Arabidopsis thaliana: one gene and its partners. The protein of the gene in region 2 interacts with the protein of the main gene of each other region in a pairwise test. Each region holds a gene or a part of one and is shown on either strand. Other genes may lie near its edges.

Region 1 (5,547 bases), on a different chromosome or scaffold from region 2:
ACCCGATCACAGCCGAATCTGTTTCCAGGCGATTCTTCACCGCGTTAGCGAACGCCATTCCTGGACCTACTCCACACACTTTACCTGTGTCAATGTCAACGTGTAGTGGCTCGTGTGCTTCTTCCCACCGGAGATCTGCGGACAGGCGGAGGATCGATGAGTTTGGTGCGCATTCCGGTGGAAGGATTTTATCCCACACCCAGCGATTGTTGTGGTGGTCTTTGAAGACGCCGCCGCGTCCTGCCATATTGCTTTGTCCAGAGAGTATGAAGATCTGATTTGGTGGAATTGGAGATTGGATCTCCGGTTTATCTTCACCGGGAGTGATAGATCCTCCTTCCATAATTTGGTATCTCTTTGGTAGAGTGATGATATCAGAATACACTATCGTGTGATCAGACCATAGAAATAAGCTATCGAGATGTCTTGTCTGAATAGAAAGTAAAGTTTGGTGGGGTGAGCATCAGAGTTGATCGGAGAAGATGATGTTGAGGCGTGGACACTAGAATCTTGGTCCGGTTTGGGTCGGTCTGTTTAAAAGTTTGGTTAGGAAGTTAGACCGAGTTAATTTTAAGTGATTCCCGTTGTGTTGGTTTAATTGGCTTCATCGGTTAAGATTCTAATTTTTATATAGCTTTTTGGTTGTGATATAACATAACAAAACAGTGAAACACATTCTAAACTCTAAAGTAAGAGTTAGTATTATGCGAGGGTAAAGTAAGCATTAAGCAACACATCTAAAACATACATAACACATAACTTTCTATATTGCCAAAACGACTTAGGCTATACGAATTAAGAAATCAAACTAAAACACAAATTTTCTCCAACACTTGCACCAATTCTTTCATGGATGGTCGCTTCTGAGGCAAGGAAGAGACACATTCAATCCCTAACCTAAAGCACGCCATTGCAGCATCCTCATGGCGAGCGACATCACTCCTAATTGCACCGTCGATTAACCTCAAGAACCGGCCATTCTCTTCCGCTGCAGAGTCGGATAAGTTTGAGAACTGATCTATATCATGATCTACCGAGAACACTTTGCTTGTGAGAAGTTCTAAAAGTATGACGCCAAAGGAGTAAACGTCCCATTTAGGGTTTGGTTTCAGGCTTGTGGACCATTCCGGTGGCTGGTACGGTGAGCTCGAAGTTGGTCCAGTGGTGTGAGATTCACGCGCTGGTGTCATGAGGCGGTCTAGCCCTAAATCGGTGATGATGGGCTCATTCTCAGCGTTCAAGAGAATGTTATTGGGCTTGATGTTACCGTGCACTTGTTTCTTCTCATTGATGTAAGATAGTCCTCTAGCCATTCCTCTTGCTATCTTGAGCCGTGCTTCAAAAGTAAGAGGGTTTTGTAATGACGACGAAGAAGATGAGCTTGAGCTTGCCTTAGCTGTTTGTGAAGGACAAAAAAACAGTGATGCGTATTTTAGAGTGCTAATGTGTACCAAATGACTTGCGTATTTTAGATATGATACTGTGTTTTTTTTTTCGTGCGCTTACAGAAACAGAGGAACTTACTGGCGGTGAAGAAACAGAGGAGGCTGCCATTGGGAACATAATCGGAAATGAGAAGTTTCTCGTCGTCTCCCCAGCAGAACCCACGAATTCTGACGAGATTTGGGTGACGAAGCTTAGCGATGGCACGAACCTCCCTCTCGAATTCCTTGGGTTTCGCAGCCGCACAGCTCTCCGTCTCGATCCGCCTCACCGCGAATGCCGTGCCGTTCTCCAGCACCGCCTTATACACGATCCCGGTTCCGGTGGTTCCCAATATGTAAGCAGATGCCTTTAGCAGAGTGTCTAGATCTAGCCGAGTCTCGCCGTCGACTGTAACCAATTGAGTTTGGGAGCTCTGCTTCAGTTGCCCACCATCTGTTCGAGTGAATGCCTGAACGGTTTGTTGATTCTCTACGTCGCTCTCTGATGTCGATGTCTCGTCGTACCTTCCTCCGGTCAAGATAATGCATGAACCGCATGTCGTTTTGGCCTCTGGTGATTCTGGGACTGTGACCTCAGTGGTGCTTGGTTTCGATTTCTTGGCTTCGTTTTTCTCCAGACAGAACTTGAAGAAGCTAAATTTGCTAGATTCTGGGTACCTTCTGCGTTTCCTGACTTGGTATACGTAGAGCACGAGTAGACCAATGAAAGCTAGACCAACTATATCTGCAACTGTGATTGCGGCAATGGTGCTTGGCTTTAGCTTGCTTTTTCCTGTCTGATTTGGTTTTTCTGTCAAAGGGTTTATTGGAGCTGTACTTCTTGGTTTAACTGCTATTGCTGGTGAAGTAGTTTCAGAGATATTTGGAGGGTTTGAAAGAGTGGAAGGAATTGAACAAAGGATCTTCAATGGCTTCCCACAAAGCTCTTGGTTACCGGAAAAAGACTCAGCCTTTTGGTTAAGTAAAGAAAGGGAACTTGGGATTGGGCCTGTGAGGTTGTTAAAGGAGAGATCGACTGTGGCATTTGCTGGAAACTTCTCTGCAAAATTTGGAGAAATCTCGCCGAGGACTTTGTTGTGTGATAAGTTCAAGTAATGCAGGCTTTTTCCTCCCAAATCCTTGGGAAGAGAGCCGTTGAGAAGATTTGAAGAAAGATCAAGAATCTGTGCTGCTTCGAAACCACTTGGAATATCACCTGAAAAGGTGTTTTTTGACAAGGAAACGACCGTTAGATTCTTCAGAAGTGAGATGTTGAGCGGAATTTCGCCAGTAAATGCGTTAGCTGAGAGATTCAAGAGCTGGAGATTAGTCACACTGTTGACACTCTTGGGCAAATCACCAGAGAGATTGTTGCTTCCAAGGGAGATACTCTGAAGCTCAGTGGCGTTGAACACCGAGTCCGGGAGTGACCCGTTGAAGAAATTGCTAGACAGATCCAAGATCCTTAGATATGGAATCGAGAACAAGTCCGGAGTGATGGAACCCAAAAGGTGTTTGTTGGGAAGTACCAAGCTTGTGACTCTGAACATGTCTGGTGTGTTAGGCTTCCCAAGCTCTGTACATGTGACACCTGTCCACAAGCATGGTGTTGCATCATCATAGTTCCAATTGCGTAGAACAGAGAGAGGGTCAGTGAGGATGGAGTATTTGAAAGTAAGCAGAAGAACACCATCAGTGTTAAGAGCTTGGAGTTGTGTGGGGACAAAAAGAAAGTGGAAGAGGACTAATGAGAACAGGAGGTTGCTTCTGTTGGAAGTCATGGTCTTTCAGTTCTTGGTTTCTCCCTCTCTAACTATTACATTTGGCTTTGCATTTTCATGGCAGAAAGAGAGAGAGATAGAGGTTGAACCACTCAAGAGATAAGTTGTTCTGGTCACCAAATCTATGAGATAGTGGAGCAATCTCTGAGATGGTGAAGGAGAGAGAGAGAGAGAGAATCTTAAAGAGCCGGAGTTGATAAAATAAGCTTTTGACTAGACTTGACATGGGACAAGGTGTAGAATCAATGATTCTTGATCATATTTATTCATTAGTGTAAAACTGTAAATGAGCAGCAGCAGCCATATTTTCGCATTTAAAATCTACTTCATTCACTAAAGTAAAAGCAATTCATGGGGGACAGAATAATTATTACCGCTTGCTTTTGGGTTATTTTTGGTTTACATGAAGAAAAGCTAATAAAATAAAGTTAAAAGTCTAAACTATTGCATTTTTTTTCTGGAACATTTCGGTCCATAGAAAGTTTAAAAGGATAATCACCGACTATTATTACGACTAAGTACAGTATGTAATTGAGTAATTATATCTCAATGTAGTACTTTCTCATCTTAGAACTTATAAGAGAAAACCCGTTATAGGTTTGCCAAAACAGAGGGTCTCGTATGAAATGAACCATACATTAATCAAAGACAAAACAAGGGACACCACAAAACTGACATGTCAGTTATCCTCATCTTTTTTTTTATTTTTTTAATAATCAAAATTTTGGAAAAATGACCTTGCAGAGTTTGATTTTTGTGTAAATTGTTCACACACTACACAAGTTGGCAAACTGAGTTAGGCCTAAACTGAATCTTTCGAAAATCGAAAAGTTAAAAATATGGTCATGAAATTATTCCTTAGTCTAAAGACTCTAAACCAAGAAAACTATTTAGCCATATTAAATGAAGTTATAGCTGAAAATAAAATTAAAAATATCTAAGAATTGAAAGAAGCCAAAGCAGTAGCACAATCAAGGAGAAAAAAAAAGGTTTGGAGAACAAACATGAAAGCGACGAGAGAATGGGCTATGACCGCATCGCTTTCAGTGTAGCCTGTGGACGAATATATAACAGAAACAAGGCTCGAAGTGGTCCATCTTATTTGGTTTTGAGTGAGTCACATAAGAATGAGAATAATTGATGCGAAATAAACGAGTGTTGTCCGAGAGAGCAACAGTCACACAAAACAATTTTGTAAATTATAGTTTGTTGATTAAGATAATAATTAGGCATAAACATAAATTATCTTAATACATATTTGCTTGCTTCATTCGCAACAAGTAGGTAGTTAGGACAATTTCTTGTCGTGTATAAGTAGCATAATAATAATATTCATCAAAGGCTTTAGTTGAGTGTTAGTTATTTAAGATACGTAATTTGTGTAAACGCGGAGAAAGTTTAAATGGTGATCATTAAGAATCTCACATGTGCATTATAAAAGGGGCCTATGGATATGATGGGGATTAAACCTAGTCAATTTCTAAAACACATAAGATAAGATTTTTTGGACGTAAGTAAAAAATACAATCTATAAAGTATATTCATCTGGCTGGTCCTAGACGTAACGATCACGGGTTGATGTCGTTTATACAATCTATAAAGTATATTCATTCTCTTTCTTGTTTTTTTTTAGGTCTAATGTTTTTTTTTTTCGTTTTCACTTCATCCTTACCCCAGTGTAAACGTCTCATCTATAAACCAAAAGCTGTAAAGTTATATAGTTATATACATCCATTCAATGCCTTGGTTTTTTTGGTCGGAGGCTGATAGCTAATAATGTGCCTATGGCCGATCTGATACCCCATAAAAGATAATGTCATCTTTTATTGTAGACAATGGATCTTAAATATTTGACTATAGCTATAAAATATGATCTTAAGCGGATTTAATCTGTCGACATATTTCATGAATATGCCATGATGACAACGTTAGTGAATCCCAAGAACTCTGCACATATTATATACGTCAAGAATGATGGTCAGATTGTACTTAAAGAATGATCTGAGAAAAAATATTTGTTTTGACACAGATCCAACATATTACTCTATATCTTAGTTATGGACTCCTCATAGCTGGTAGATGTATAGTGTTTTATTCTTTAAATTGTTTTTGAATTCTCTTTTTTTTTTTTTTTTCTAATCTGAAATTTTAGAAATATTAAACAATCATCCAACCACTTATTGTAAAGAAGAGGGAATCGTATATAAAGCCCAAAAGGGTAACGAATTATCGACTTCAAATATAAATATCCACGCCATGCTCTCTTGTCTGGTCCAATAGAGGTTCTGACATAGCACCAAGAGACATCTCTTTATCTACCAACTAAGCATTTGACTAAGTTG
Region 2 (5,006 bases):
GTCCCCTAAAAGGTTGAGCAGATCAAGAAGATGATTTAGCTTTCACTGGTAATGGATATGTCAGGAGTTTTTCCCCAACCGAGGATCAAGGTTACTGCTAATGATTTCTGACAACTAAGAGTAGAAGAATTTTGCAGCATACAACAAAAGACATAACACAGGGACAGGGTATATAAGTACCTGAGATTTGGATGGAAAAGTAGTTCCATCAGGAAGAACAACCCATCCAGCTTCCCTTGCCAAAGCCGCGATAACATCGTTAATATCAGCTCTAACTCTCAGGTTATAATTCCCATGCCTTCGTAACCCGCCTAGTATCCTTGCAGTTATAGCCCTTCGATGGCGCTCTCTCAACTTAGTTCGCTCCTTCTCTTCAAGCGGTCTACTTCTGCGACTTCCTCCTCCCCCAGGAGTGCCCACTTGATCTTGCATTGACTGCTGAAACATAAACTCGTCATTACTACTACTGCCTGAAGCTGCGTGTTTGTCTCTATTTCGTCGGTCTCCATCATCTTCTTCCTTCACATCCATGTCCATTTCTTCGTCATCATCCTCTTCACTAGTTCCAAGCAGTTTATGCATATCCGTCGCCATTACTTCTCTTATAACCCAACCACCCAAACCTCTGTTAGTTTAAGAACGTTATTGCCCTCTTATGATGAAATGTTCCATCTTTACTTCTCTGGTTTTAACACTCCACGTGTAATCCTTCTGGACAATGCAGCCAAATATTCTATGATATTTCCTTGCTTACAGTTAGTTAGAAAATTGGAGATAATTTTAGTATCAACGAAATTAATCTTCAATCTCTCAATGTGCATAAGCTGCTCTCAGTTTAACTTCATCAAAGATCCTACAAGACAAAAATCAAACATATAAACAGCATTTTCAACTACAAACATATTTGCAGACATTAAAATGGAAAACTTTTGTGACTAACGAAACCAAACAGAGACTATTTCAAGCACAATTGAGATTAAGTACCTAACCATATATCATTGACCTCTGTGAGTAAGAGACACTAAGCACAATTCTTTCAACAATCACAAGCCTCCTCTCGAAATTGGTCAGAATTCTCGGCCCTCTGGGCGAATCATCGAGCAATACTAAAAAACCCTATAAATGGAGCTTCCGATCAAAGGTTTCCCCCTCTGTCGCCGTCAGCGAAACCAAGAGAGAGGAGAAGAAGACGGTGGATCTCCGGCGGGTGAAAAGAGGCGGATCTGGCCGTGAGATGGAGGAAGCGCGTGAAGGAGCGTGCAGCGTGAATTGGAAGACGAGCTTTCGCGCGTGTGTAGCGCTCGAGCGTGTCTGAGAGAAAGAGGAGTGTGTGAAGCTAAGGCTTGGCACGAACTATGCGTGTGTGCGTAAACCAATTGAAGAGTAGAGACGGGCTCATTAAACGTGTGAAGGGAAGCACGTGCCACCACCACCATCACGAGATTACGATGCACTCTGCGGCGCACAAGGCAAGGCAGGGAGATAGTCACGTGACTTGCCTGACCAGACACAGTTCGCATGATGTGATGTCTAATTATGGTCGTTTGAAAACAGTGTTCACAAACTGCGTGCCGTTTTACTCTTGTAGACGTGGACTTCATCCCGGTTTTAAAACCAAAGTAAAGTCTTAGACATTGACCATGGCTTCATTGGCTTGAACCTTCTTCCTTGTCTCGAGGGTTTACGTTGAATGTCAACTAAAAGTTGACCAAAAACATTCGTTACAAAACAAACTCAAATGTCATTAAAAGATGTTGTAAATCCGATTTAATTTTGATGACAATTACAAATTTGAGATTATTATTATTAAAATGATCTAAAAATATTTAATGTCTACAAAAAAAAATTAGTAAATGACATTTATACGATGTGATTCTAATTGTTATGTCTACATTAATAATTTGTAACTAAAAACATGTGAACCGAAAATAATAATTCCAATAGTAACATTACTCTCTGAAAATTGCAATAACATGGTGTAAATGTCATTTAGAATTTAATTAGAAATGAATGGGACAACCTTTACTTATTAATTATACACCTAACGCATATATAGCAACTAACGTTCATTATGAGATTTGATTAGCCAAATGTGGAAGGCACGTCTCTCCCCCACAATCAGATCGGACGGCCATCATTCGTCGGAGACAATCATAACTTAATTTTTAGTCATTAAATAATAACTCAAGCTGAAGAGGAAGAGACTCCATGTATTAATCTTTGTCACGTTCATCAGAGCCAGAGGAGCCAACAACGAAAGAGAAGAACTTGAAACTCACCAAAAACATTGATCATTATACACAATCGTGATGGAGAGTTCTTCGAATTCCGACCAAAATGAGGGAACTCCGACGAGCTCTGTTTCTTCGCCGTACCGGAGAACATACTCAGATATCTCCGGATTATCTCACCGGTTCGACGTTCAGAGCTTTTATAACCGGCCGTCAAACACTAACGCTGTTGTCTTGAGTGGCCATGAAGAAGATGTCTCCGAAGACGCCGAGGAACCAAAAGATGATGTCGTCAACGACGTCCACGGAGATGGAGACGAAGAAGACAGCGACATTGATTCTGCAGAAGATGCAGGTAAAGTGTTTAAGATTGTAACTTTCTTCTTTTGTCATTTCGTTAAATCGGGGTTTCTAGTGCAGAGCTAGAGATGATGAGGGAAAGATTTGCGAAGCTGTTGCTTGGTGAAGACATGTCAGGAAGTGGGAAAGGAGTTTGTACTGCTGTTACTGTGTCAAACTCCATAACCAATCTCTATGGTTTGTCTTCTTCTTCTCTTTTCAAATATGCTCTGTTTTCAAAACAGAGTATTTATAGTGTAGCGTGTGTTTGTTGTGTTATTGCAGCGACTGTGTTTGGACAGAGTTTAAGGTTACAACCATTGAGTACAGAGAAGAAAGACTTATGGAAACGAGAGATGAATTGTTTCATGTCTATTTGTGATTACATTGTCGAAGTTATTCCAAGATCTCTTGGTACTAACGTTGAGGTAAAATACTATTTCAACACTATCTTAATTTTGACACACACAATTTAAAACGCTAAAAAACCGGTGCGTTGATGTTTTAATTTCAGATAACAGAAACAAAGCTAAGATCTGATATTCTCATGAGTCTTCCTGCTTTGAGAAAACTCGATAACATGCTAATGGTAAGTATAAGACTCGAATTAGACTGATAGATAATCAAGATTCAAAAGATTTCCAACACGACTTGTTTGACTTTTGTAGGAAATATTGGATAGTTTTACGGAAAACGAGTTCTGGTATGTTGAAAGAGGAAGCTCATCGATGAACTCGGGTGGTGGTGGTAGAGATTCAGGAACGTTTAGGAAAGTGGTGGTTCAACGGAAAGACGAGAAATGGTGGCTTCCGGTGCCATGTGTTCCTGCTGAAGGTTTATCTGAAGAAGAACGAAAGCATTTGCGTCACAAACGCGATTGTGCCAGTCAGATACATAAAGCAGCATTGGCCATTAACGATTCCACTCTTAATGACATGGATATTCCTGATTCTTACCTCACCACTCTTCCAAAGGTATAAAAGGATAACTTGCGACTTCCATATAAATGTAATGTGAAAGTTTTGAAATCAACTCGGTGTTGTTTGATTTTATGTACAGAGTGGGAAAGCAAGTGTAGGAGACGTGATTTACAAGCAACTGTGCACAGCCGAGAAGTTTTATCCCGACCAGCTTCTCGACATCTTGAAGATCACATCTGAGCATGAGGCGCTTGAGCTCGCCGACAAAGTTGAGGCTTCACTAGTTACGTGGAGGCGTAAGACTGGAGGATTGACTCACTCTAAGTCCTCATGGGACATGATGAAAGATATCAGTGGCGATGCAGATCGTGGCAATGACAAGAACCACATACTTGCGGCTCGAGCCAGGAGCTTACTCTTCTGTCTGAAACAGAGATACCCTGAACTTTCTCAGACCTCACTTGACATCTGCAAGATTCAGTTTAACCGAGTGAGTAGCCCCAGCCATTTTGCATATTGTTTTAATTAAGATATCGATGGAAAATATCGAAATTATATGCTGAATATTCTTGTGTGTTGTTTTATTTTTTTGGTTAGGATGTGGGAAAGGCGGTATTGGAGAGCTATTCAAGGGTTTTAGAAGGTTTGGCTTATAATGTTGTGTCGTGGATTGATGATGTTCTTTACGTCGACAGAACAGTGAGAAACAGAGATGATTAGGGTTTTTCATACTGAGTTTTTTCTTTTGAGAACAGATTAAGTTCTTTGGGATGTAATGAGAATACCAAACAAATGTGTATGTTTTTTTCTTATGATTTTCTGAATCTTTAAAAGGAATTCTGAACCAATAATACCAAATGAGGGTGAACAAGAATTTCAACCACACACAGTTGATAGAAGATCTTTAATTTCAGATGTTCTTTAATCATCACTAGTGGCCCTAATTTGCCAAAGAGCTTAATCTGTCAATTTTTTTTTGTCTTGGATTGTTTCTTGACTGAAACACAATGAAGCAATAGAGATGGTCTTCTTGTTTAAGTTCAAGCCTTGTTTTATTAATCCTCATATAACAACAACATACAACTAACAGAACTCAAAACTTTACAGAAGCCAAATGGAAAAGAAAACATAATAAGGACTGAAAGAAACAAGACAAAGAGTTTCTTTTGCAGTCGTTGGGGTATTAAAAGCTGTGGTTGTGTGTATCTGCACAAAAACTGAAAACTAGAGCTTGTCCATTGAAGTGGACGTGAACCTGTACAGAGTAAACAGAGGAGCCTCTTGATGACCATGAGTGTCTTTCTCGAACAAAAGTTTACTTTCTGGTAGTGATCTGGAGCAGTGGGATTTAAGGAACCAGCTTGTTGATTCTTTCAGGTTGGACCAAGTCTCTGCAATTGCTGATTATCTCTTCTAGTAGTTCATCAAGGATTATTTCACCTGTTTCAGAAACGATGCAACCAATATCAAAGCGGAGATCCATCCAGTTTCCAGTCCTAGCCAGGTCTTTCCGCAC
Region 3 (5,622 bases), on a different chromosome or scaffold from region 2:
TGTGAAGAGGACCCAATGATTCTAAGATGAATGAAGAAGTAGTTAGGTTTTGCAGAGAGAAGTGATCAAGAAGAAAGAGAGAGAGAAGTATATTGATTGTGTTTTACTTTGTTGGCATGTGTTTTGGGGACAGACATGATCAGTATATAGTATATACTATGTATCTTTTATTAATCCTTAAGACATAATAATGAATAAGCATGACCGATGTTTTATAATGCTTAGAATACTATCCTACTTTCTTCTAGCCTCGTGACATTTTACTTTATACACACTTTGTAGTCTTGTAAATTGCTTATATTCTTTCGATCCTAAAATGATACATTTAGAAATGTCTAAACGGTGAGAAAAAAAAGGAAGGTAAATGATGATATAGAGGGCATGGGACGACGACGATGTCATCATCATCATTGCACCTTTTTCTTATTAAAAAGATAGAATTTGGCATGCTATAATATTTGTATGACTTTTTCCTTTGTAATAATCCTTAACTCTTATTACATGTTCCCCACTTTTATCTATCTATCAGCTTCTTAATAGAAATCATACTAAAATGAACTATAGAATCACAAAAGTCAAAAAGTCTTGGACTGGCCTTGACTAGCACCTATAAATGATTTAGAACATCATATTTGATTTTCACATGGATTAACGAAACTATATTATGGAACACATTCAAAATTATAACAACAAAAAAAATACAAGTATTATTTCAAAACTACACAAGGTTGTGCTTATTTCTTGAATTATTTTACTTTCCTAATGAGAGCAAAGTTTCTCAAAGAAGTAATCATATGATGTTTTTCTTTGAATGTGCCTCACACTTACTTACAAACACAACACAAGCCAATGAGAGCTACATGAAAAGATCTGAAGATTATACAAAACAGCATACAAACTTTGGTTTTTCTCCTTCTTCTTCAATTTCTCCACCTTCTTCATTTGTTAGTATTAATTTTACATACACTTCTACATAACCCTGAGAAAAAGAAAACCCTAAAATTTTGAATTTTCCATTGAATCAAGAAAGATTTCATCAGAAATCAAAGTTGAGATAAGAATTAAACCTTGGCTCTTAGATTTAAGCTTTCCCTCCTTCTGGTAATGTGATCAAACGAGAACCTGAGTCATAGACCATCTCCGTTCCACAGCTAAAAACCAGAAGAATCATAAGACTTCAAGAAACGTTGTAGACAATTTGTGTGATCGATTCGAGTCTACAGCTGAGAAGCTTACCCTGAGCATTTGACATTGTTGGTGTTACTATCATTGGGGATGGATAGTATCGTTCCAAAGAAAGATACATTCTCTGTTCCACAGTTTGGGCAAGGGCCCTGTGAAAGATATGTTCCACGAAAATTAAAAGCATTTCATAATAATCGCATAAAACTCGTAGGATTTGGCACTATACCAATCCAAATTTGTAGCGTTTAGCACAAAATAGATTATTATCTCAAGTCTAATCTCTTGTTTAAGCATTTTTGATACTGAGAAAACAAGATTTAGTTCTATAACTTTTATTTTTCCACTTCATGAACTGATCTTGGAAGATGATTAATGTTTTTACCTTCAAGATCAAGAAGTCTTTGAGGATCAGTTTGGTGAGTGATAACGCCAGATATACAATTGCAGGCACCGCAGCGAACCATGTGAAAATGAAACTGAATGGTTCCGGAAGCTGCAGATTTTTGTTTTTGTTTTTTAATCAGTTGCATGAATACTGGAACAATTACTACGAGTATATATTCTCCAAACCATAGTAGAATAGTCGAAAGAGGTTTTACCTCGAGCAGGTACGTGATTTCAAAACCAGTAATGTCATCAAGAAAGAAAAATCTGGAGAACAATTGAAGAAAACAACAATTTTAAACTAACTAACATAAGCTAAGATCATGTGATTTGAAAGTTGAGAGAGGAACAGAACCGGAGGTACTCACAGTCCGAGAGCAACAACAGTTGCTGGTACATTCAACAAGAACATTTTGAAGTAATCAATGGCAAGATCACTATAAACCTGCATAATCAAGGAGGTCCACAAGTCTATAACATCTCTAGAGTTTGTCCCAAACAATGAATCTAATGTTATGTTCTGTAATGTCCAAAGAATATATGAGCTATCCGAACAATTAAGAGTTTTTACCTTTTTACTACGAAGACTGCATCTTGGACCCTCACACACAATCTCACTGCCGTCCATCTACAGAAACCAAAGAAACAATCATAACGTTTGTCCAAATTACACATGTAACAAGATGGATGAAACTAAGAAATAGTATTTGTAAGTATAAATAGATTAAGAACCTTTAGTTTCATTTTGAGCTTATCATACTCTTCATCACTCAAGATTGGATTTCCAGAGACATAAGCCATTGAAGCTTCAAGGAATCTTTGTTCATCAGAACCTACAATACATAGATAAAATTAGATCAAGAATCAAGAACCTAGGCGAATGGATTATTGACAAAACTATAAATCATAAGTGTTCATTACTTAGCATGACAACACTGCTTCCTTCCCACATCAACTCTTCTTTAAGGTTATCAAACTCTTCATTAGACATAATCGCTTTGCCTTCGTAATAAAACGACTGCAAAAGAAAAGAAACAGAAACAATCCTCGATTATATAGAGATAAACCCATACTAATGATAAAAACACTTTATTTGATGTGTTACTTGCATCGCTTGGAGGAACTCTTGTTCCATTTCACCGATAGTTCTCTTCTCATTCTTGTTGATGCTACAATAAGGTAAAATCTTGCTATCAACTTCTTCCCCACCCACCTGACCTGAAGACAAGTCATAAAAATGATTTTAAGAAGTAAGGAAACTCTCAAGGAGCAATCTTTTAGTGGATTAGAGTATAAAAACTAAAAATCCACAGAGGAAAAAAGTTCCATATAACAACTTTTCTTAACTAGAATTAAAGCTTGAGTGATTTTATTCTATGATTGAATAAAATCAAAACTTTCTCAAAAGCCACTGTGTTCCCAAACAATGATCAGAGACAAAATCAAAGCTACAATACAACAGCTTTTCTCAACTAAATTTGAAGATTGAGTGCTTTTTTGTTTCGATCACATAACGATGAGTTAATAACTTAAGAACCTTAAGCTACACACAAATTTTAATCCTAAAAAGGCTACAAATTGGAAATCATTTATCTAATTATCTTCTATGATCATAAAAATCTCAACTTTTCACACCAATTTCGTTCCCAAAGAAAGATCAGAGGCAAAAACAAATAAAAAAATCGAAACTTTAAAGAGGCAAATAAAAATCGAGACCTGATTGATCAGTAGAAGCTTTAAGGGGCAATAAGGTAAGTCTTCGTCTGAGAGAAATCGATCGTCCATGGGTAAAGGGAGCAGGACACTGTGTCCTCGAAGAAGAACAAGTGATGGGTTTGCGAGAAATTGCAGAAAATCTAGGGATTGTTAGAGTAAAAGCCATCGTCTTTATCCCTCACGCCGATGATTGAGTGAGATCGTTGTTTTCTCTTGTCCGGGACGAAGAACAAAAAAAAAAGTTAGAAGCTTTGGATTTGTGTGGTTGAGAATTGAGATGGTGATGTTTTTTACTGTGTGAGATAGTTTCAGGTTCCTTCTGATTTTTTTGTTTTGTTTTGTTTCAACGTGTAATTGGAGGGAAAATTAGGAGGAGATAAGCGAAGTTGGATCGTCTAGCGTTCCACGTCATGATTTTGAAAAAAATAAGAATAAAATCTTGAATTTTGGTAAATTACCAAAAACAAATATTGTATTATAATATTTAGATATTATTAGTCACAAATAAAATGAATTCTTTATATAATTTTTTTTACGTAGAATTGAAATAAACGAAAAAAAAAAACTCTAACTCAAATCATAACAAAAATATGTACAATCATTTTTAGTTTATTATTTTATCATCTCAACGGACAACGGTAAAGAAAAATAAGGGTTTTGATTTGTGGGAGTCAAGATAGTAAACTCATTATAATAGATAAATTGTACATATGCATCATCATGTGGTGAATCACCTATTGGTATAAATAATTAAGAAACCATAAACATATTTCATGATATTGCACGAAAGCAAAACCAACAAACACATTGTACTCTTTTGAAAACATATTTTGTATGTAAGACTTAATTTATTTATAAGTTCTCTTAAGGAACTAATTGCGATAAAAAAATTTGAATTTTAATAATTTATAAGAGAATTTTGTTGTAATATATATATATATATATATATATATATATATATATGTTTGAAAAAATGAAAAAGAATCTTGAGTTTTAGTAATTTGCAAGAAAAAGTTGTAATATAATATTTATTAGTCAACAAAAAAATATTTATTTACAAACAATTATGAATCGGACTTGTGACTCAAACCATAGACAAAAACAATCATTGTGATGCTGGTTGTCCATAAGTTAAAACACAATGAATCTATCATGAAATAAATTGTCATTGGTGGTTTGTAAACCACTAACAAATCGATAGAAAATGTTTATAACATTGTCGGATATGCTCTCATTAGATATTATAAATGAAAATTGTGGATAGTTGTACTTCACAAAGCCACTACATCCGGGGTCATTTCATCATTTACTCAAGAAGATGTTTTTATCTTCGGAAACCAGACACTTCGAAGATAAAGACTTGAGAGAGGCGTATTATGATGTATGGTTCGCTGGTTTAATGTTGGTTTAATATTTGGTTAACTTTGATTAAGTGAGCTTAAGTTCAAATATATATAAGCTTAATGATACACAGTTCTAACTAACGCTTGTAACAATATTTTGTTGAGATAAATAAAGTTTGTTAGCTTTTTTGTTCAATCTTCTCTCTACTTTTCGATACACGGGTGTCCCATGTAAATAACCAAATAAATTTTTAAGTTTATAATGCACAAATAATTCACAAAATTTATGTCATAGAATTACTTTGAATCGAAAAAAATATATATATGAAAGTTGGTTAACTCTCTCCATATGAATGTCACATTATCATACAAGAAAATTACATGTGTTTTTATATTATTCAATAAAAATTTTAGCAAAATTAAGTTAAGAAAATCAAAAGTCCTCCACATCATTAAATCTTCCATCAATACTATTAACTTATTTCTTCAAAAAAATTGAAAAATACAAAATCATGCTAATGTATAACTCAATTATAATTACAACTATTATATCAATATATCTTATATTGTTATTCTATGTATTTATGATAGCAAAAAAAAGATTAAGATCTTATGTATATAGATAATTATATTACACATGAAAAATATATACTTGATATTTTACGTCAAAAGATGAATCAAAGCATAAAAATTGTAACTATATAAGATGAATCTAAATATTTATGTAACTACACAAACTAGCAACAAAGAACATACAACATATTTTTAACAATTTTCAAAACAACAACTCATGCATAGCATGATTATTCATCTACTAACATTAATAGTTTGTCAGAATAGACTAACATTTTTTTTTTACTTTAAATGGACTAATCAACATAAATCTCCCCAAATCTTGGATGTACTCGATGAATTTGAGATTTTATTTGGTGAACTAACCAAATATAAAATGCTTTTATATCTTTTTTTATCTTTTAATTTGGTTAGAGTTTAC

Evidence for each region.
Region 1: the proteins of ROPGEF4 (region 2) and AT4G34220 interact in a protein complementation assay, tested with the Arabidopsis thaliana proteins (one large-scale study listed by BioGRID).
Region 3: the proteins of ROPGEF4 (region 2) and PGRL1B interact in a protein complementation assay, tested with the Arabidopsis thaliana proteins (one large-scale study listed by BioGRID).

What each region holds. Positions count from the first base shown.
Region 1 is NC_003075.7:16,380,850-16,386,396, forward strand, and holds AT4G34220 (Leucine-rich repeat protein kinase family protein), read right to left. Parts: upstream 3,620-5,547; 5' UTR 3,206-3,619; coding exon 1,525-3,205; intron 1,397-1,524; coding exon 804-1,396; 3' UTR 624-803; downstream 1-623. Other genes in the region: AT4G34215 (carbohydrate esterase, putative (DUF303)), read right to left, coding at 1-343.
Region 2 is NC_003071.7:18,881,231-18,886,236, forward strand, and holds ROPGEF4 (RHO guanyl-nucleotide exchange factor 4), read left to right. Parts: upstream 1-2,146; 5' UTR 2,147-2,309; coding exon 2,310-2,586; intron 2,587-2,651; coding exon 2,652-2,768; intron 2,769-2,855; coding exon 2,856-2,998; intron 2,999-3,084; coding exon 3,085-3,159; intron 3,160-3,238; coding exon 3,239-3,544; intron 3,545-3,629; coding exon 3,630-3,980; intron 3,981-4,087; coding exon 4,088-4,210; 3' UTR 4,211-4,499; downstream 4,500-5,006. Other genes in the region: BAM7 (beta-amylase 7), read right to left, coding at 1-5, 181-594; TRM13 (Phosphatidylinositol N-acetyglucosaminlytransferase subunit P-like protein), read right to left, coding at 4,839-5,006. UniProt on the Arabidopsis thaliana protein: Guanine-nucleotide exchange factor (GEF) that acts as an activator of Rop (Rho of plants) GTPases by promoting the exchange of GDP for GTP. In association with ROPGEF1, acts as a specific regulator of ARAC10/ROP11 function in ABA-mediated stomatal closure.
Region 3 is NC_003075.7:7,174,259-7,179,880, forward strand, and holds PGRL1B (PGR5-like B), read right to left. Parts: upstream 3,631-5,622; 5' UTR 3,452-3,630; coding exon 3,286-3,451; intron 2,916-3,285; coding exon of another isoform or gene 2,870-2,915; intron 2,788-2,869; coding exon 2,675-2,787; intron 2,588-2,674; coding exon 2,491-2,587; intron 2,403-2,490; coding exon 2,302-2,402; intron 2,198-2,301; coding exon 2,141-2,197; intron 2,015-2,140; coding exon 1,938-2,014; intron 1,837-1,937; coding exon 1,785-1,836; intron 1,679-1,784; coding exon 1,568-1,678; intron 1,335-1,567; coding exon 1,237-1,334; intron 1,152-1,236; coding exon 1,082-1,151; 3' UTR 1,068-1,081; intron 980-1,067; 3' UTR 628-979; downstream 1-627. Other genes in the region: AT4G11950 (transmembrane protein, putative (DUF1191)), read right to left, coding at 1-1. UniProt on the Arabidopsis thaliana protein: Ferredoxin-plastoquinone reductase involved in cyclic electron flow (CEF) around photosystem I. The homodimer is probably not involved in CEF.